2 linked regions of the Mytilus edulis genome follow. The protein of the gene in region 1 interacts with the protein of each later gene in a pairwise test. Links are inferred from orthologs where the notes say so. Each region holds a gene or a part of one and is shown on either strand. Other genes may lie near its edges.

The links.
Region 2: the proteins of peroxisomal biogenesis factor 19-like (region 1) and peroxisome assembly protein 12-like interact in a two-hybrid assay, tested with the Homo sapiens proteins (4 studies listed by BioGRID and IntAct, with this or other methods). The link is inferred for Mytilus edulis from reciprocal best matches to the Homo sapiens genes PEX19 and PEX12.

Annotation. Positions count from the first base shown.
Region 1 is NC_092348.1:72,185,094-72,193,982, forward strand, and holds the start of peroxisomal biogenesis factor 19-like, read right to left. Parts: upstream 3,670-8,889; 5' UTR 3,439-3,669; coding exon 3,309-3,438; intron 1,678-3,308; coding exon 1,598-1,677; intron 560-1,597; coding exon 391-559; intron 57-390; coding exon 1-56. Other genes in the region: leucine-rich repeat-containing protein 58-like, read left to right, coding at 3,817-4,292, 7,973-8,376, 8,820-8,889. UniProt on the Homo sapiens protein: Necessary for early peroxisomal biogenesis. Acts both as a cytosolic chaperone and as an import receptor for peroxisomal membrane proteins (PMPs).
Region 2 is NC_092349.1:85,760,685-85,769,490, reverse strand, and holds the start of peroxisome assembly protein 12-like, read right to left. Parts: upstream 3,706-8,806; 5' UTR 3,556-3,705; coding exon 3,433-3,555; intron 2,169-3,432; coding exon 2,060-2,168; intron 1,596-2,059; coding exon 1,480-1,595; intron 725-1,479; coding exon 641-724; intron 387-640; coding exon 163-386; intron 1-162. Other genes in the region: uncharacterized protein, read right to left, coding at 4,716-7,646. UniProt on the Homo sapiens protein: Component of a retrotranslocation channel required for peroxisome organization by mediating export of the PEX5 receptor from peroxisomes to the cytosol, thereby promoting PEX5 recycling.

The DNA of each region.
Region 1 (8,889 bases):
AGACATAGTTTGTGCCAAATTTTTAGCAAATTCTTGCTGTGCTTCTTGTGAATCACCTAACAAAATTAATAATTTTAACATTGTAAATAATGCATTTATACCTTTTCTTAAAATATAATTTAGTAAAATCAACAAACATTAAATATGGTCCAATGTTATAATAACTATTATAGGGGTCAACAGGGGGATAAAATGAAAACATTCAAAACTAAACTTGAATTCGATTATTTTTTTTTTTTTTTAATTTGTTAGCATCTTAATATGATATTGGAAAACTCAAATCATTAAAATATGTATAAAACATATACAGTCTTTTCATTATCACCTTCCCACCCTCCTTGTTGTCTAAATAATAGACTTGTCACTATAATTTACATAATAAATCAATACCTGCACTGCCAGCAGCAGCTGCTAGTTTTTCTATTTGTGAAACTAATTCAGGATCTTCACCAACCATACTTTTCATGGCCTCTTCAAATTGTTTTGCCATATCGTCTGAGAACTCATCAGCAAACATGTCCGACAAAGGATCCCCTGATGCTTCTGATTTCTGTGATGCCTGAAACACATGATTATTTCAAAATGGTATAAAGATATCAATTTATTGAGCCCATAACTTTTTACTTTTGATTTCTAAAAAACAAAATAGTGTGTGTATTTATCATCATGATCATTTGACCTACATGTATATTATTCATGAAATACAGGCAAGTATTGTATGTCTGTACACTTTCAAATTCATTGACTTTGACATATTATGTAAAGGTATTGTTGTTGGACATACAATGTACAGATATTAATGGTGGGCATACAATGAATAGATATTGATGGGCATACAATGAATAGATATTGATGGTGGGCATACAATGTATAGATATTGATGGCTGGCATTCAATGTACAGATATTGATGGTGGGCATACAATGTACAGATATTGAATGATGGTTGGCATACAATGTACAGATATTGATGGTGGGCATACAATGTATAGATATTGATGGTGGGCATACAATGTACAGATATTGATGGTGGGCATACAATGTACAGATATTGATGGTTGGCATACAATGTACAGATATTGATGGTGGGCATAAAATGTAGATATTGATGGTGGGCATACAATGTACAGATATTGATGGTGGGCATACAATGTACAGATATTGATGGCTGGCATTCAATGCACAGATATTGATTGTGGGTATACAGTGTAGATATTGATGGTGGGCATACAATGTACAGATATTGATGGTGGGCATACAATGTACAGATATTGATGGTGGGTATACAGTGTAGATATTGATGGTGGGCATACAATGTACAGATATTGATGGTGGGTATACAGTGTAGATATTGATGGTGGGCATACAATGTACAGATATTGATGGTGGGCATACAATGCACAAATATTGATGGTGTGCATTCAATGATGCATACGATGGTGGGCATACAATGTCGATTATGATAAGACATAAATTTGCAGCATAGACATGAAAGAGATGTCAGCAAGTCTAAAGAAAACATGCATATCATGTACATTTACTTTACCGGTACATATATACAAATGATATAACATAACAAAAAGCTGTTTTTTAGCTTACCGAATCATTATTCTTGGCACTACTCTGATCCTCTTTTGTTGCTGTTTTCGGCTTTACTTCATCAAAATCTTTCAAAGCACCTAAAAAAAAATTAAAGATTGATTTAAAAATGAATAGGATACACTATTTATAAATAAAATTAATTATTATACAAAAAATATATTTCAACAGAATGCAAACTTGTAGATAACAAAAATTCAAAATGTAGGCTATAACATACATGTATTCTTATACATGTACATTGTATTAATATATGTTGAAGAAAATTAGCATTACTGTATATTTGTTGTTGTAATAATTGAATTCAACTTCAAATGAAAAGGTTGAAAATTCTTTGACATGTATGAAAACAATGCAAAATCCTATTTATGAATAAAAGAATTCTTCAAAAGAAAAAATAATAACTATACTATAACTGTATATAATGTTATCTTTTACAAAACAATTTCAATTATAATAATGTCATACAATGTAATTATCTATATTTTAAATGTAATGTTGTCATAATTATTTTGTACAAATAAGTTATTTGAATGGATAAACCTGTTTCACAGAACAAATGATATTGGAACAGAACTATTGATTTGTACCTGGAACAACCAAGGACAGAACACATATTGGCAAAAACCATTTTCGGAATCGTGCACTTTTTTGTCAATTTCATACATCACAGTAAGAACCCATAATAAATGTTCAATGACTTTGTTAACAACCTTTTACCTTGGGTCTACCTGTTTAACTCATCTATAAAAAACAACTTGAGTTTGGTATAGGAATGGAATGACATCAAATCAATTACTGTTGATTAGTAAATTTAATAACTGTGATAACCATTTTTTGTTGTGTTAAACAAGTTTAATCTTTTGATTAAGGTAATAATAATTATTCTGTTCATTAAAATTACTGGTCCCTTAATGGAGGTTAGGCGTGGTCTTCATAACCAAGCAATAGAGATCATTAAACACCTTCTTTTCAATATACTATAATATATACAAGGGTAGGAATGCCCTTTACCGTCAGACGTTAAACTGTTATTTTAAGCTACCGTTCGAGTCAAATTGGTTAAAATTTCAGTGATTTGTTAAAATCTTCTTATCGTGATTTGAAAAAGGTTTCGAATAATTATCTTTACCATCATTTTAGGACAAAAATTAGCGTGATTTGACAAAATCAGCCGTTATTTTTTTACTGTCTAAAGGAAAGTGTTTTAAATTTTATCATCTTGCGCCAAACATTACTGACAAGAATTTTTACCATTAATCGTCATGAAAGGACCCCTATTACCACCCTCATGCACATGATACAATTAGCAAGGTTAATACACCTTATCGCTTATCCCGGCCGCTTGAACTTTTGACGAATACAACAATCACTTTTCCATTGTGGCGTCAGATATTTTGTTTTATGATGTCAAAATTCCATGGGAACATGTGTGATATCCAGTAATGGCGACAAATAGCGATAAGGTATACAGAATGATCTCCGAGCCTTAAACTATTATCATCATTCCTGATTATTGTTTTAAATATTTAGAGTGATGTTAGCTATAAATGGAATTTACTATGTAGTGTTAACTCTATATTAAATAAAATGTTATCGTTAATAATCATGTGGGGTACACAAATATATCCACCCTCTTGCACCAGTCTTGATTAGCTCAATAAAAATATCTTGTGTATTGGTATAATTTCTGTTAATCGATGACTCATACTGTCTAACAATGAATCTAATTCTTCATCCTGCTTATCGGTTTGTATATTCTGTTTGATTTCTTTCTTTGTATTGGTTAAACTGGTCTCTTCAATAGCTTCTTTCGAATGTTTACTCTCATCACCCTCCATCACGCCTTTTCCCCCTGATGTACTTGTAAAAAATAAATATCCCTTACGTTATCGTAAAAAAATATTTCATTTATTTTCCCCTAAATGTGTTTCTTTCAAAATTCGAGTAATAACCTAATTTCAAATAAGTCTTTATTTTTTTAAACAATAATCTATAAACTCAAAGGAGGAATCGGTCTTGAAATGGACAAAGCTTATAACGACCTTCACCTCTGTTATTTTCCTAAATGTTGAACCATTGAATAATAGCCTGTACCAGGTGACACAATTTAGAACAAACATCACTCGTCACTTTCGTGTCATGTGCGTTGCCACTTACAGTAAAGAGAGATACAGAATATGGAATATATTTCATGACTAAAGATCATAATTGATTAAATGGCTGAATATTTGTCTGAAACAACTTCTTGTTCTGAGAATGAATATTTAAGTGATGGAGCTGAGGATTTGTCATATGGTGACCTAACAGCCATACCAGAATATTTATTCGATCGTTCGAAGTCGATCAGAGCATTATGCCTACACCATAACAATATAGAAGTGTTACCTAAGTCTATAAATGTGTTTGCTAACCTGATCACTTTGGATATAAGTAACAACAACTGTCACAAACTAGATGATGCTGTGGTTTATTTAAAACAATTAAGAACTTTGATAGCCAAGAACAACAACTTAGAATGTAAAACTATACCAAAGGATTTTAGTAAACTACGATCTCTAGAGGTGCTGAACTTTTCTGCCAATTCATTTACAGAGTTACCTCCACAGTTTACTGAACTACCTCGATTGAAAGCATTATACTTAGGTGGCAATGCCATCTCATCAATTACATCGTTGATTAGGCATATGTCTAGGTAAAAACAAATTAACGAGTATACTTTATAGTCATTATAGTACTTTGTGTGCTTTTTTTAACACGTTGAGTTTTAAAGATTGATGTTTAAAGTACAATATTCTGTAATTGAAAGTGTCGATGTGGATCATGAATGAAGCAGACCTGGGGTAAACATGGTAAACAGATTGGGAACAACCCCTCAAATGAGGAATAATTGACCCCTCATTGTAATATGACTATCCGATCCTTTTTATACGACCGCAAAAATTTTTGCGGTCGTATATTGGTATCACGTCCTCGGCGTCGTCCGAAGACGGATGGTTTCCGGATAATAACTTTAGTATACGTAAATAGAAATCAATAAAATTTTAACATAAATGAGTAATGTTTATAACCACTAAAGGAAGTTTGGAATTGATTTTGGGGGTTATGGTCCCAAAGGTTTAGGAATTAGGGGCCCAAAACAAGCATTTATCTAGTGTCAGGACAATAAGTTGTGTACAAGTAGAAGTATTTCAATTGTTCTGAAATTATACCACAATGTTTAATACTGTAAGTAGAAGGTTGGGATATATTTAAAGGGTTACAGGGCAAACAGTCTAGGAATAAAGTGCCAAAAACAAGCATTTTTGTAGTTTCAAGACAATAAATTGGAGTTATCTTTCTTTGTCCAGAATGATTGTTGAATTACCTAAAACCAATGCTTTATGAAATCTTCTTTGAAAATTGGATTTATCTTTCTTTGTCCAGAATAATAGTTGAATCAAATTAAATCAATGCTATATTATACAATATACAATGCAATATTCACTTTTACTACCAACTGATATATTAAAGTAATCTTTACCATTCAGTGATTACAAGCACTTTGATTACCATTCTAGGGTTATGCCCCTTTACAAATGGAAAAATTGAAGATTTTTTTCGTTTCTGTTCTCTTAACATAAGTTTGTCTCAACTAAATTTAATGAAATGTGTATATAATGCTTATTACATGTACCTCTAAACTCAGTTTTAAATAAGTTCAATTTTTGGCAGCTTCACTTTTACAGTTCTTGAGTTATGTCCCTTTATAACATTATATGCTAGCTGGGGCATCATCTGTGTCCCTTTGGACACATTCCCCATTTATTTTTATATAAGTTATTATTAATTAATATTAATTTTAACCATGACTGTATGACATTTTATATTTTAATACTTTATGATGCATTTAAATGAGTAGTTACATGTATTGTTGCAAACTCCATTAGCAAATTTGAATTGAGATCATTTTTGGAGTAAGGGAAAGGGGGAGGTGAAAAAAAATTGGGGGGGGGGGGGTCAATTTTTCATTTCAGATTTCAGAAATTAAAAAGAAAATTTCTTCAAATATTTTTTTTTTAAGAGGAGCATAGTGAATTGCTCAAAAGCAAAAAAAATTAAAAAATTTAAGTTCATTAGACCACCCACATTTATTCTGTGTCAGAAACCTATGCTGTGTCAACTATTTAATCACAATCCAAATTCAGAGCTGTATCCAGCTTGAATGTTGTGTCCATACTTGCCCCAACTGTTCAGGGTTCAACCTCTGCGGTCGTATAAAGCTGTGCCCTGCGGAGCATCTGATTAACGAATGTGACATACCAACATGACCAAATTAGACTATTTACATTGATTATCATTTACCAGATTCGTCCCTCATAATGGCCTCATTTCATGCATTTGGGGGCTTGTTTGAGTTCCTAACATGGTAAACATGGTAAATATATGAAATAACATGACAAAACAATTAGTTATCATTTTAGAAATGTATTAAGGGAATCTTAATTTTTGACAATGGGCCGGGGCAGTCATTAAACAGTGAGAAGAAAATACAAAAAATGAAATAGCAATGCCTTGATTTAGGGTTAAATCGAATAAAAATTACAGAACATGTATATTGAAACTTTCATCTGACTTTGCTATAAAAAGCTGATAAACAGGCACAGCTGATACTATTTTAATGCATCTTTGGACTGACTGGTTCAGAAAATGATATTGATATACACCCTTTATCGTATTTAGCATGTTAAGTAGAAATTTAATTCTATGCTGAAAATATATTGTGTGAATGAGTGTATACACTGTATGTAAGCTAGGATACACATGCAATTGAGTATATATATATTATCAGAGATAAATGAGATAACCTTGTATTAGGAGTACATGTAAAGATACACGTGCAATTGAGTATTATATCTATACATCATGAGATAACCTTGTATTACATGTACATGTATATCTTTTGTAATTACCACCTAACTGTACTTAAAGCAACATACAAGTGTAATCTCATAACAAATTAAACTTGGTCATGTTGGTGGAAGAGAAAACTTTCCATTTTTTCCAGTTTTTTTAACTTATATAACATTTTTCATTCTTTCTAAACAAATTTTTAAGTTTTTTTTCTCAATGACCACAACAGGGGCTCAGGCATGTCAAGAAAACAATCAAATTCAAAAATTTAATGTTCAATAAACAAATCCTAAATTACAACTTACTTATTAAGTTAAACATGTTAAAGGGGACTTACATGTAAGCAGATACTCAAAGTTCAATAATAAAAAACCAATAACCCAAAGACAACAGACACATTATATATATATAATTATGACATGACTCCCATGATCAAAAGAAAAAGTGGAACAGATAAATTTTGTAAGACTACACAAATTATAAAGATTGATAAATACATGCAGTTGATCACCCTAACACATTTTTCCATTGTCATGATTGTCATGCATGATTAGTTACACTTACATGTATCTTGTTGCTTATGTCATGCATGTATGTCATGTATGTATAGATTATTAAGTTGTACATGTTCATTTACATGTAGCTACAGTAATAGTATACTATTATTAGGTATTTTTTTTAAGGGAATTATTTTTGCATAATTTTCATGGTTTAAAAATTATCAGGAAAAATCTTCTTACATGTCTAACTCTTACAAGTATGTAAATTTGAAATCTTTTAAGAACATCAGATTTAGGCACAGGAAAATACAACTGTAAATCTTAATGAGAACAAGGAATTTGGCCTTACAAATTTTGAATTTTAAAAATGGACCACTTTACAATAGTCATGATAGTCTATGACAGTTTTATACAAAGTACCATACAAAAATGGTAATTGGTGGATTGCAAGTTACAATGTAACATGGTTAAAAAAAATATAAGAAGTCTCATTCTGTGTAATTATCAACTAGGAAAGAAGTGCTGTGAATTGTAATTTTAAAAGCAACCCTCACAACAAAATATATGTATGCACTTAAACTATTAAAGCACGTCTACATCAATTTATATTTATGCCCCATTTATGGGCATTATGTTTTCTGGTCTGTGCCTCTGTCTGTCCCACTACAGGTTAAAGATTTTGGTTGAGGTAGTTTTTGATGAAGTCTAATCAACTTGAAACTTAGTAAACATGTTCCCTATAATATTATCTTTCTAATTTTAATGCCAAGTTAGAGATTTTACCCCATTTTCAGTCCACAGAACATAGAAAATGATAGTGCGGATGGGGCATCCGTGTACTTGGGACACATTCTTGTTTAAATATGCATTGTATTTTGTATAATTCTGACATGAAAGTTTTCAATTATGCCTTGCATAACTGAAAGAAAAATGTTTGAACAACCAGTGTATTGTCTGGTATTCAAATTTATTTATTTTTCAGATTAGAAATCCTTTATATGGGTGGAAACAGACTTACAGACATTCCAGCCGAGATAGGACAACTATATAACCTGACATCACTAGTCCTGTGTGATAACCAACTCCAAAGTCTTCCACCTACCTTAGTCAACCTTCATCGTTTGAAGTCCTTGAGTCTTCACAACAACAAATTATCTACCCTTCCTTCAGAAATCGTAGCACTTAATTTAATAGAATTAAGTCTAAGAAACAATCCATTAGTTGTTAAATTCGTTCAAGATTTAACCTATGAAGTGCCTTCTCTGCTAGAACTTTCTGCTAGAGTTGTTAAGATTGAAAAAGTAAAATATGACCAGGAAGATCTGCCAAAAAACCTACTCAATTATCTTGATTCCTGTCGGAGATGTGTTAATCCTGAATGCAAAGGTAAAGAATTTATACAACAAAATTTTATTTAAGGATTTGTTTATAATACTGTAAAGTCAGAAATTATCGTGATGCGTTTAATTAATTTGAGAAATATTGGATGAATATCAAGGAAACAGCAACACAACAATCAAAATGAACATCTATTGGTCAACACACATGTACATTATTCAACGACGAGAAACAAGACGCCATACCATAATACATGTATGACAACATTTAAATCATTTTGAGTCTTAAAATTATTTCTAGGGAGCAACTAACCACAGTTAAACCTTAATAGATCATGTGAAACATATATATACATGTATATATATATACATGTTAATACAAGGAAATGTGTTTACTTAATTTTTTCATATAAATTATTTGATACTTGAACTACATATATTATCATTTACTTGTAAGTTTTAATATTATATATTGTTATCTTTTTACTTTAGGTGTATATTTTGCTTCACGAGTGGAAAATGTGAAATTTGTTGACTTCTGTGGAAAGTACAGACTGCCGTT
Region 2 (8,806 bases), on another chromosome or scaffold:
TTAAACATGTTTAACATGAATGCTACAAAATGGAGAATGTTCCTAGTCTTTATAAATTAAAAAAATGCATAGGAAAAAACATATTTTTTCTCATTTGTTTTATTTCAAGGTAAAAATATTTTTATAACATAATTTTATGTCATTACACTACTTTTGACTCACCTTAAATCTTGCCACACTTCTGGACTATGAACATTTGTTGACTGTAAATCGTCCTCTGTTTGATGAACTAATTCTACACCTGAAAGTCTGACAAATGGAGAATGCCATTTTGATTTACCAAACATGTAAGATATTAAATGTACCAGAATACTGCCTTCCCAGACCATATGGATGTAGGGATACACTGCTACAAATGCTTTATATAATTTGCATAACAACGTGTTCTGAAATGGAAAGAAAAGAAATCTGAAGGACAATATATGGTCTCAACCATAGGCGAATACCTAGCTGTATAATCATCCTGTATTAACCTCATGATCTTTGCTACCTCTTGTCTTTTACAGTATGAATGCCTTAATGTTATACCAGATTGTAATTTACTAATGTTATTTTTGTAGTTTTTAAAAAAAGGATAGCAAAATTCTCATTCAAGCAGGTTTTATGTGAACTATATAATATTAAACAATTACATATTTACCTGACTGAGTCTTCCTGTGTTTATTTTGTGTCTCAATTCTTCAAAAATGAAGTCCAACTTATGTTTTATATATGGCAAAATGACCTACAAAGAGTGAGTTATTATTGCAATATTTTCATTAAAATACTGATACTTGTATATCTTATATCTAACTTGTCAAAAAATAATAACAATTCAAAAAGAGAAAAAAAATCATGCAGACCTTACTCATCTAAGTACACAAAGTTTAATTAATTTTGTTCATGTGGTGGAATGTAGTCTAAAGCAACTTGTTTTCCTAAAAGGTAGTGGTTAAAAGCCAAGTCAAGATATATGTGTTATGTTGTGGCAAGAGCAGCTACTATTCATACTGTTTCCATCACAAAACATTGTCTGCTATTCTTGACTCAGAACTGCCTTTTTTTATTATAGAGTTATCTCCCATTTTCAAAATAAATACTGGACTGATATCCAAATACAAAAAGATCAATTGATTCTTATTCATTTCATAAGGCTTTTTACTGGAAGGCAGAAACATATTTGTATTGTTCTCAATAGTTTCTGATATTAAAGCAATATCATGCCTACATGAACAAAGAATTCTGTGGGTACATAATCATGATAATGATTTTCAGGTAATTTCATCTTACATGAGATTAACTTGACTTCATGCACCATATGACAAAAAGCTCACATTTAAGCAATGTATTATAAATTATCATTATCTAATGCTTACTATCCAAAATTTTACACAAAGCCATTAGACAGAATTCTTTGTACACTTAAAACCATGACATCTTTACTTTAAATGACAGTTAACAAAAACATATTTCCTATTTTAACTGTCAACAAAATCTTACCAAGCATAAGATAGATTTAATTAGACAACGTTTTGAAAGTTTTGTATCTTCCTGTTTTTGATCCTTCTGACAATCAACTCTTTTAATACCATAAAAGTTTTCAGCAAAAGATCCACCTGAAATAGAATTAGAAGACACAATCATATGTGGGTTATAGGGTTATAGCTGTTAAAGCGAATGAATATAAAATTCTATGGTCAACTCTATGTTTAATAAAAAGTAAAGTAGTTTTACGTTAATTTAAATGTTTCAAGACTTGTGAACATGATGGCTGAAATGAAAGTTAGTCTCAGTGCAGGTTTTGTTGGTGTTATGGATATATATACTTTACCATATATTTGCAGTAGCTTTCATTTAAAAGTATACAGTTAATATATATATATATATGAAATTATGTGTTATTTTGGCAGAATTTTTATAACATATATATAATTGAATTCATTTTTTAAGTTCAGACTTGACTGTGTCATCTAATTAAGTATGGATATATGGGTTTAGTTTAGGAAAACAAAATTCTCATATTTTTTTTACATCAATTATTGTGCCACTTATCCAAAAATAAAGTAATTATTTGACTTACTGTATGAACGTAAATAATAATTCTGTAGAATTAGATCAAGTATTGTGTATATTTCATCGTAAAATCTCAGCATCCATGCAAATTTATCTGGCTTTGTCTCTGCTAAAACCTAAAAAGACAAATATATATGAATAATAAGTAAATGAAACTTTGTCTATTCTTTGACAGGATACATAATTTCATTATTATATATACAGTATAAAGAAAACATGTTCTCAAGGGGGACATGAATAACTATGAAATAATTTCAAGACATGATCAAAGCATAAGACAGATACTTCATTAAAAACATAAATATTGTCAGTGGAAAGAATTTCACAGGGCGCAATTGAGCATTAAAAATAAATTTGTTAAAAATTATTGTTACAGTATTGATTAACATTTTATTGATTGCTAAATTAACTAAGTATATATGTCAGCTTCCCTCATGATTATTTCAGCATGCAGCGGTAATGTACAGTGTTTTGGGCTGAATCAGACTGTGAAATTGCAAAAACACAAAAAAAATGTCTTTTAGGGGCAATAACTTCCTCCACGAGTCTATCAGATCTGGATATAAAAAATGTGTATGCTTATATTGCTTTTATTGTTGGATTAAATTCTTAAAAACATATAAAAATATGAAGTGGAATGATTGTTAATGAGACAATAATCCATCGGAAACCAAATGTAGCCTTCATGGCCTTAAACCATGTCAAAATATTTAAATTTTGAATTTATTTTTAGTTAGAATTGATGGTACATGTAGATATTCAATTTGATTTTGGAACCTAAACCATACAATCATGACAATTGTGATGCTTAACTTCCGTTAAGTTTATTTATTTCATTTATACAAATTAGTTTTGTTTAATTCAACTGAGGGAAAGAATTGACATAGTTTTTTTTCAGAAAAAAGGAGACGACAATTCTTAAACTTGATTAACTACAGATTTTGAATCTCAATAGGTGTAATCAGAGTCTTGAGAGCATGATTCTTGCGAGAAAAAACATTTTTAATTCTCAAGTAATGTTAACAGACGACTTAAAGGAATTGCTTCTTTTACACATATATTGTAGATACTTTAAGTCGTTCGTTAACAGTACTGGAGAATACAGAATTAGCTCTCAAGACTCTAATTGCACCTATACACCTTATCACTATTTGTCGGTCATTTCTGGATATCACACAGGTTCCCTATAAATTTTGACTTCGTAAAACAAAATATCTCACGCCACAATGGAAAAGTGATTGTGTATGACGTCAAAAGTTCAAGCGGCCAGGTCAGCCGGGATAAGTGATAAGGTGTACATGTATTGAGATTCAAAATCTGTAGTTAAGCTAAGAGTATCATTCAATTAAACCCAATGTGAAAATCTATACTATTCCTTGCCTTTATGGCATGTTTAAGAGCAGGTCTTATTGTGCTCATAAGACTGTCCTGGGCAAGAACTTCAAAAATAGACGGTTTTGAAGTGAATATAGCAGATGTCAAGTGCGTTGCACTTTCGGCCATTGTTTTTCAGGGATCTATTAACTTAAATAAGTATTTGTATTTTAAGCTCCCTTTTTTTTTCAATAAATATCAAGAAACTTTAAGCAAATTTGTAGTTTGTTTTGTATGGAGCATGGACTTTGAGAAAGGTCATGGTCATAAATAGCTTTTAGGTTATTAGAGTCTAGCCAGATTATTTCTGTTTAGAGTCTTTAGAAGTATAACTAAATACACAAAAATAAAATCAATAACAACAACGCACAACAATGAACTTAATTAAAAATGATCCAAAAGGTCAAAATGCTCACATGAAAAAAAAACATACCTAAAAATTAACTTTAAAAATTTGTGTACATATGTTTTGTATTTTTCGTTGATATTATTCTTTAAAATTCAATATATTATGTTTTCATTTATAACGTTTGAGTGCGTTGTATTTTAAAATCTTTCCAATTAATTAGTCGTATTTCATAAAGTGCTCTTAAAGAACAATCTCATGTTATCTTGCTGCTCTCAGTCTTCCACTGTCACTTCCGGCTTGTCATCAACATAAATATATTTGGCAGGTAAAATGCTCAAAATATGTTATAATTTCACTTAAGATCCATAAATATATCATTGTTTGATGAGATATTTGTTAAACTTTAATATGTGAACACCAATTTCATTACAAAGTGATAGTGGAATTGAAAAAAATGAATTAAATACATTGGGAATAGACCATGACACACCCCCAAAGCCGGCAAAGGCCAAATCCATTAGAAATCGTAAAAATGAGAGAAATATGGATACAGATATTACTTATTATGATTCAATACCTCTGTGTTCTTTTTGAATTAAACATTTATAGTGTCTAATAATTCGTAATATGAGGCAGGCATTACCTGTGAATGGGGACGAAGTCTGTATGGTTATTTTTTTTAAATCAAACATGTTAAAAAGAGAAACAGAAATACCGTAACGTTTCCGATTTTGGTTCTGTAGTTAGGGATTTTAAGTGTGATGTTATTTAATTTATGACGTCATATTCAATGTAAACAAAGAAACGCTGTCATCAGGTAACGTTCCTGATCCTGATCCTAAGGTCAATAATTGACACTACTGTTCTCTGTGTGCTATCTTCCTCCTCTTATGGTACACCGTTGCTCGAGGTAATATCTCGCGGTACTTTGGTATACTTGTTAGGCGCAGGATCGGGAATCAGGGATTGCAAGTTCTTGGAATCTCCCTGATTTTGTAATATATTCCCCTACAATTTGCGATGTTGCTTCGTAGGTTTCTCTTTTTGGTGGTGCTAGTATTGACTGTATATTTGTTGGATCGATGTTAAGTAGTTCCATTTGTCTTCGCATGTCCTCTCTTTCTTGTTGGTATCTTGGGCAGTATAGCAGGAAGTGTTCTGATGTTTCTTCTTCTCCGCATTCACAATATGGCGTGAGGGATTGACCGATTTGGTTTCTGTATTTGTTAAGTCTGCTGTAGCCCGTTCTTATTTCTGACAATATTCTTCCTATTTGGTTGTTAGGCTTGTCTAGTTGTGCGTCCTTACCAACGATAGGAATTAGGTTGAAAAGCTGTCTTCCAGTTTCACTAATTGTCCATCTGCTTTGCCATTTGAGTTTTGTAGACATCTTGACTGCACATCTTACATCTGACATGGTTATGACATTATACTGATCATTTAGTGATGAGGCCTCTTTTGCAGCGTCTTTTGCCAACTGGTCCGCTATCTCGTTCCCGGCTATATTAGCATGGCCTGGGATCCAAGATAGGGTTGTTAGTATGCCGTGTCTTAAGAACGTTCCCATGCATTCTTTGATATCAGTAATTGTGTCGATGTAGTTAGAAGATTTCCAGTTCAGAGTCAAGATGCCTACAGCAGTCTGGCTATCTGACAGTATTTTAAGCTCAGAAAACTGGTCCTTTATAGTCGTTATACAGTGCTCCAGGACCATTAGTATGGCTACTAGTTCAGCAAGAAGTATCGATCCTCTATTAGCTACTGGCCTCTTTAGACTTATGCCTTGGCTATTTCCAGAATATACTACTGCTCCTGCCCCACATGGTCCCGGGTTACCTTGACATGAACCATCAGTGAATGCCACTACTGTTGAGTCTGTGCTGTCTCCTAATAGGTCCTTTACAACCTGTTTACTTTCAACAGTTTGTTCGGCTGTTCTGTTCTTTGAGCTACCTAGACGACTCCAATAACTTGGTGATCTCCTTAGCATGACATCTACACCAGCTTTGTATGTGAATTCTGGTTCTATAAGTTTGATGTCAACTTTCGTGGCTTTGAACATGTCTATGGATTGGTTTATAGCTTTACCAAATGGAGAATCCTGTTGTTCATAGGTTGCGTTGTTTGTTAAATACTGTTCTAGTTGTTGTTTAATTGGTTCTGCTATGTTCTTTGATTGTATTTTTGCCAGTTCACGTACTGATATTTCCTCTATTCTGAGGTCTATGGGTTGTATATTGGCTTCAACTTCCATTGCCTCTCTACCTGATGTTCCTGGTAGTCCTAGGCATATTGACAAGCCTTTTCTTTGTACAGCTTCTAATTTCTTCATATTCTCTGCAGATGTTATTTGCCAGACTGGGCATGCATACTCCATGATAGATCTAACCATGCTGTTGTATATTTGGAGTAGTTTTGATCTTGATATTCCTCCCATGCCCTTAATATCTCTAATTACATATATTGCATTATTTGCCCTCTTCTGCATCAGATTGATGTGGGTGTCAAATTTAAGCTTCTCGTCTAGAGTTACTCCAAGTAGCTTCGGTGTTGGACTATATCTATAGGAGAAGGAGTTGACTTTTAATGTTTTCTGCTCTGCATCTGTGTTGCCTTTTGAGAATAGGCATACTTCACACTTTTCCAGGTTTACATTAATTCTCCATTTTTCTGTCCATTTTAAAATAGTTTTGACATCCTCTGAAGTTCTTTCTTTCATTTCCTTTATGTCTTTCCCCTTATGCCATAGAGTGCCATCATCTGCAAACTTGCAATTTTCTCCTTTTGTGTTATCCATTATATCAGCTATGAATATGTTAAACAAGGTGGGTGATAGTACTGACCCTTGTGGCAAGCCGATTTTGGTATCAAATTGTTCTCCAAAGAAGTTATTCAGCATACATCTGGCTGTTCGATTTGTGAGAAAGCTGTTTATCCATAACCAGGTTTTTCCCTTTATCCCAAGTTTATGCAGCTTGATCATTAACCCCTCACGCCATATTGAGTCATATGCCTTTTCAAGGTCCACTAGCCATGCAAGAGTTGATTCATCCTCATTGTAACCATCAGCTATTGTTTGGACTAACCGAAGTAGAGCATTGGTGGTTGAGTGATTCTTTCTGAACCCTTCTTGAGTTAAATCAATCAATCTGTGACCCTCAATATATGCCACAATGCGTTCTAGGATGACTCTCTCCATTAGTTTGCATATAATGCAAGTTAGGCTGATTGGTCTGTAAGAAGAGGATGAGTAATAGCTGGTTTTTCCTGGTTTTCTTAGAAATTTTACATCTGCCATTTTCCATTCTGTTGGTAATTCCCCTTTTTGCCATATGATGTTCATCATTGTTACTAAGGCTTCTGTAAATTTGTCACCTGCATGCTTATAGAATTCAGCAAACTGCTGATCTGGTCCTGGGGCAGTCCCCGTGCGAAGGCGGTATATAGCTGCTTCTACCTCGTCTTTGTCTATTTCTCTATCAAAGCCTTCTCTATGTTGATCTGTTTCATTTGTTGCCTGATACATGTTATTTAGTTCTTTGTATTCTTTGTTGATACTATCATAAAATTCTTTATCAAATGACTCATCCTTTAGGTGGCTACCTCCAAAGAAAATTTTTTGTAGAAGTTCAACTTTACTTTTGTTGTCAAATATTGGATCTTTATTTTCAACAATTAATGGGAGTACTGAGTTATCTTCTGTTTTCCTGGACATCTTTTTGTACGTGTTCCAGAAGTCTTTTGAGTTTTTAGCCTGATTTAGTTGGTTTACGAGGTTATTACTCCATTCTTCTTGTGCATCTTCCTTTGCCTTGTCAAAGTTGTATTCTGCAATGATGAGTCTTTGTTTGTTTTGTGGAATGTTCCTCATTCTGTATTGTTTCTGGCAGTGATTTAGGTGTTTTTTGGCAGATGTTACTGAGCTACTCCACCAGCATGGCTTTTGGTGTTTTCTTGGTTTAATTTCTTTATATGGGATCATTTCTTTTTGTGTTGCATTTATGATGTCAGCAAATGACTGGTAAATATGGTCAATTCTGCGCAGATCCAGAAATTCAAAAATGCGACAAAAAAAATTTTAAACAATTTTGAGTTCATTAGTACAATGAAAAATTAGGGAAATTTTCTGGATTTTTTTTTTTTTTTTTTTTTTTATTGAATTTTCTACTGTTATCATGGTAATAGGGGACTTCGTCCCCATATTATTGGTACAATGTACAGATAGATATAGGAAGATGTGGTGTGAGTGCCAATGAGACAACTCTCCATACAAATAACAATTTAAAAAGTAAACCATTATAGGTTAAAGTACGGCCTTCAACACGGAGCCTTAGCTCACACCGAACAACAAGCTATAAAGGGCCCCAAAATTACTAGTGTAAAACCATTCAAACGGGAAAACCAACGGTCTAATCTATATAAACAAAACGAGAAACGAGAAACACGTATATATTACATAAACAAACGACAACTACTGTACATCAGATTCCTGACTTAGGACAGGTGCAAACATTTGCAGCGGGATTAAACGTTTTAATGGATCCAAACCTTCTCCCTTTTTCTGAAAAGATGTACATCTCACAGCTCCAACTTACATTACTCTTTATTTATTCACCCAGTGATTGGGAAGGACGTGCGCCAATTGCGTTTTTCAACCAAAAAAGGTGCATAGAATGACAAATGTAAGCACCCACATGGCGCCATTATTTTGCACACTGTTTTGAAAAGTTTAGATATCATCACATGATCATAAAATGGATTTCAGATTGTGTTTCGTGTCGCCATGTGTATGTTCAAAACAGTGTAGTGTTCCCGACAATGATACAAGCACTGCCTATATATTTTTGAGACGTCTCAGGCGTTTTCTATGGTAATAACAGCAGCATGCAGTATATTTGCAGTCTTCACGCTGAACTGCTAAATCTACAGGCCCGCAGCTCAATTTTTGAAATTTTTTAGTTAGATTCTGTTGGCCTGTAGGTCTGATTTTTACAGGCCCGAGAGCAATTTTACCAGCCTGGGCTGCCTGGG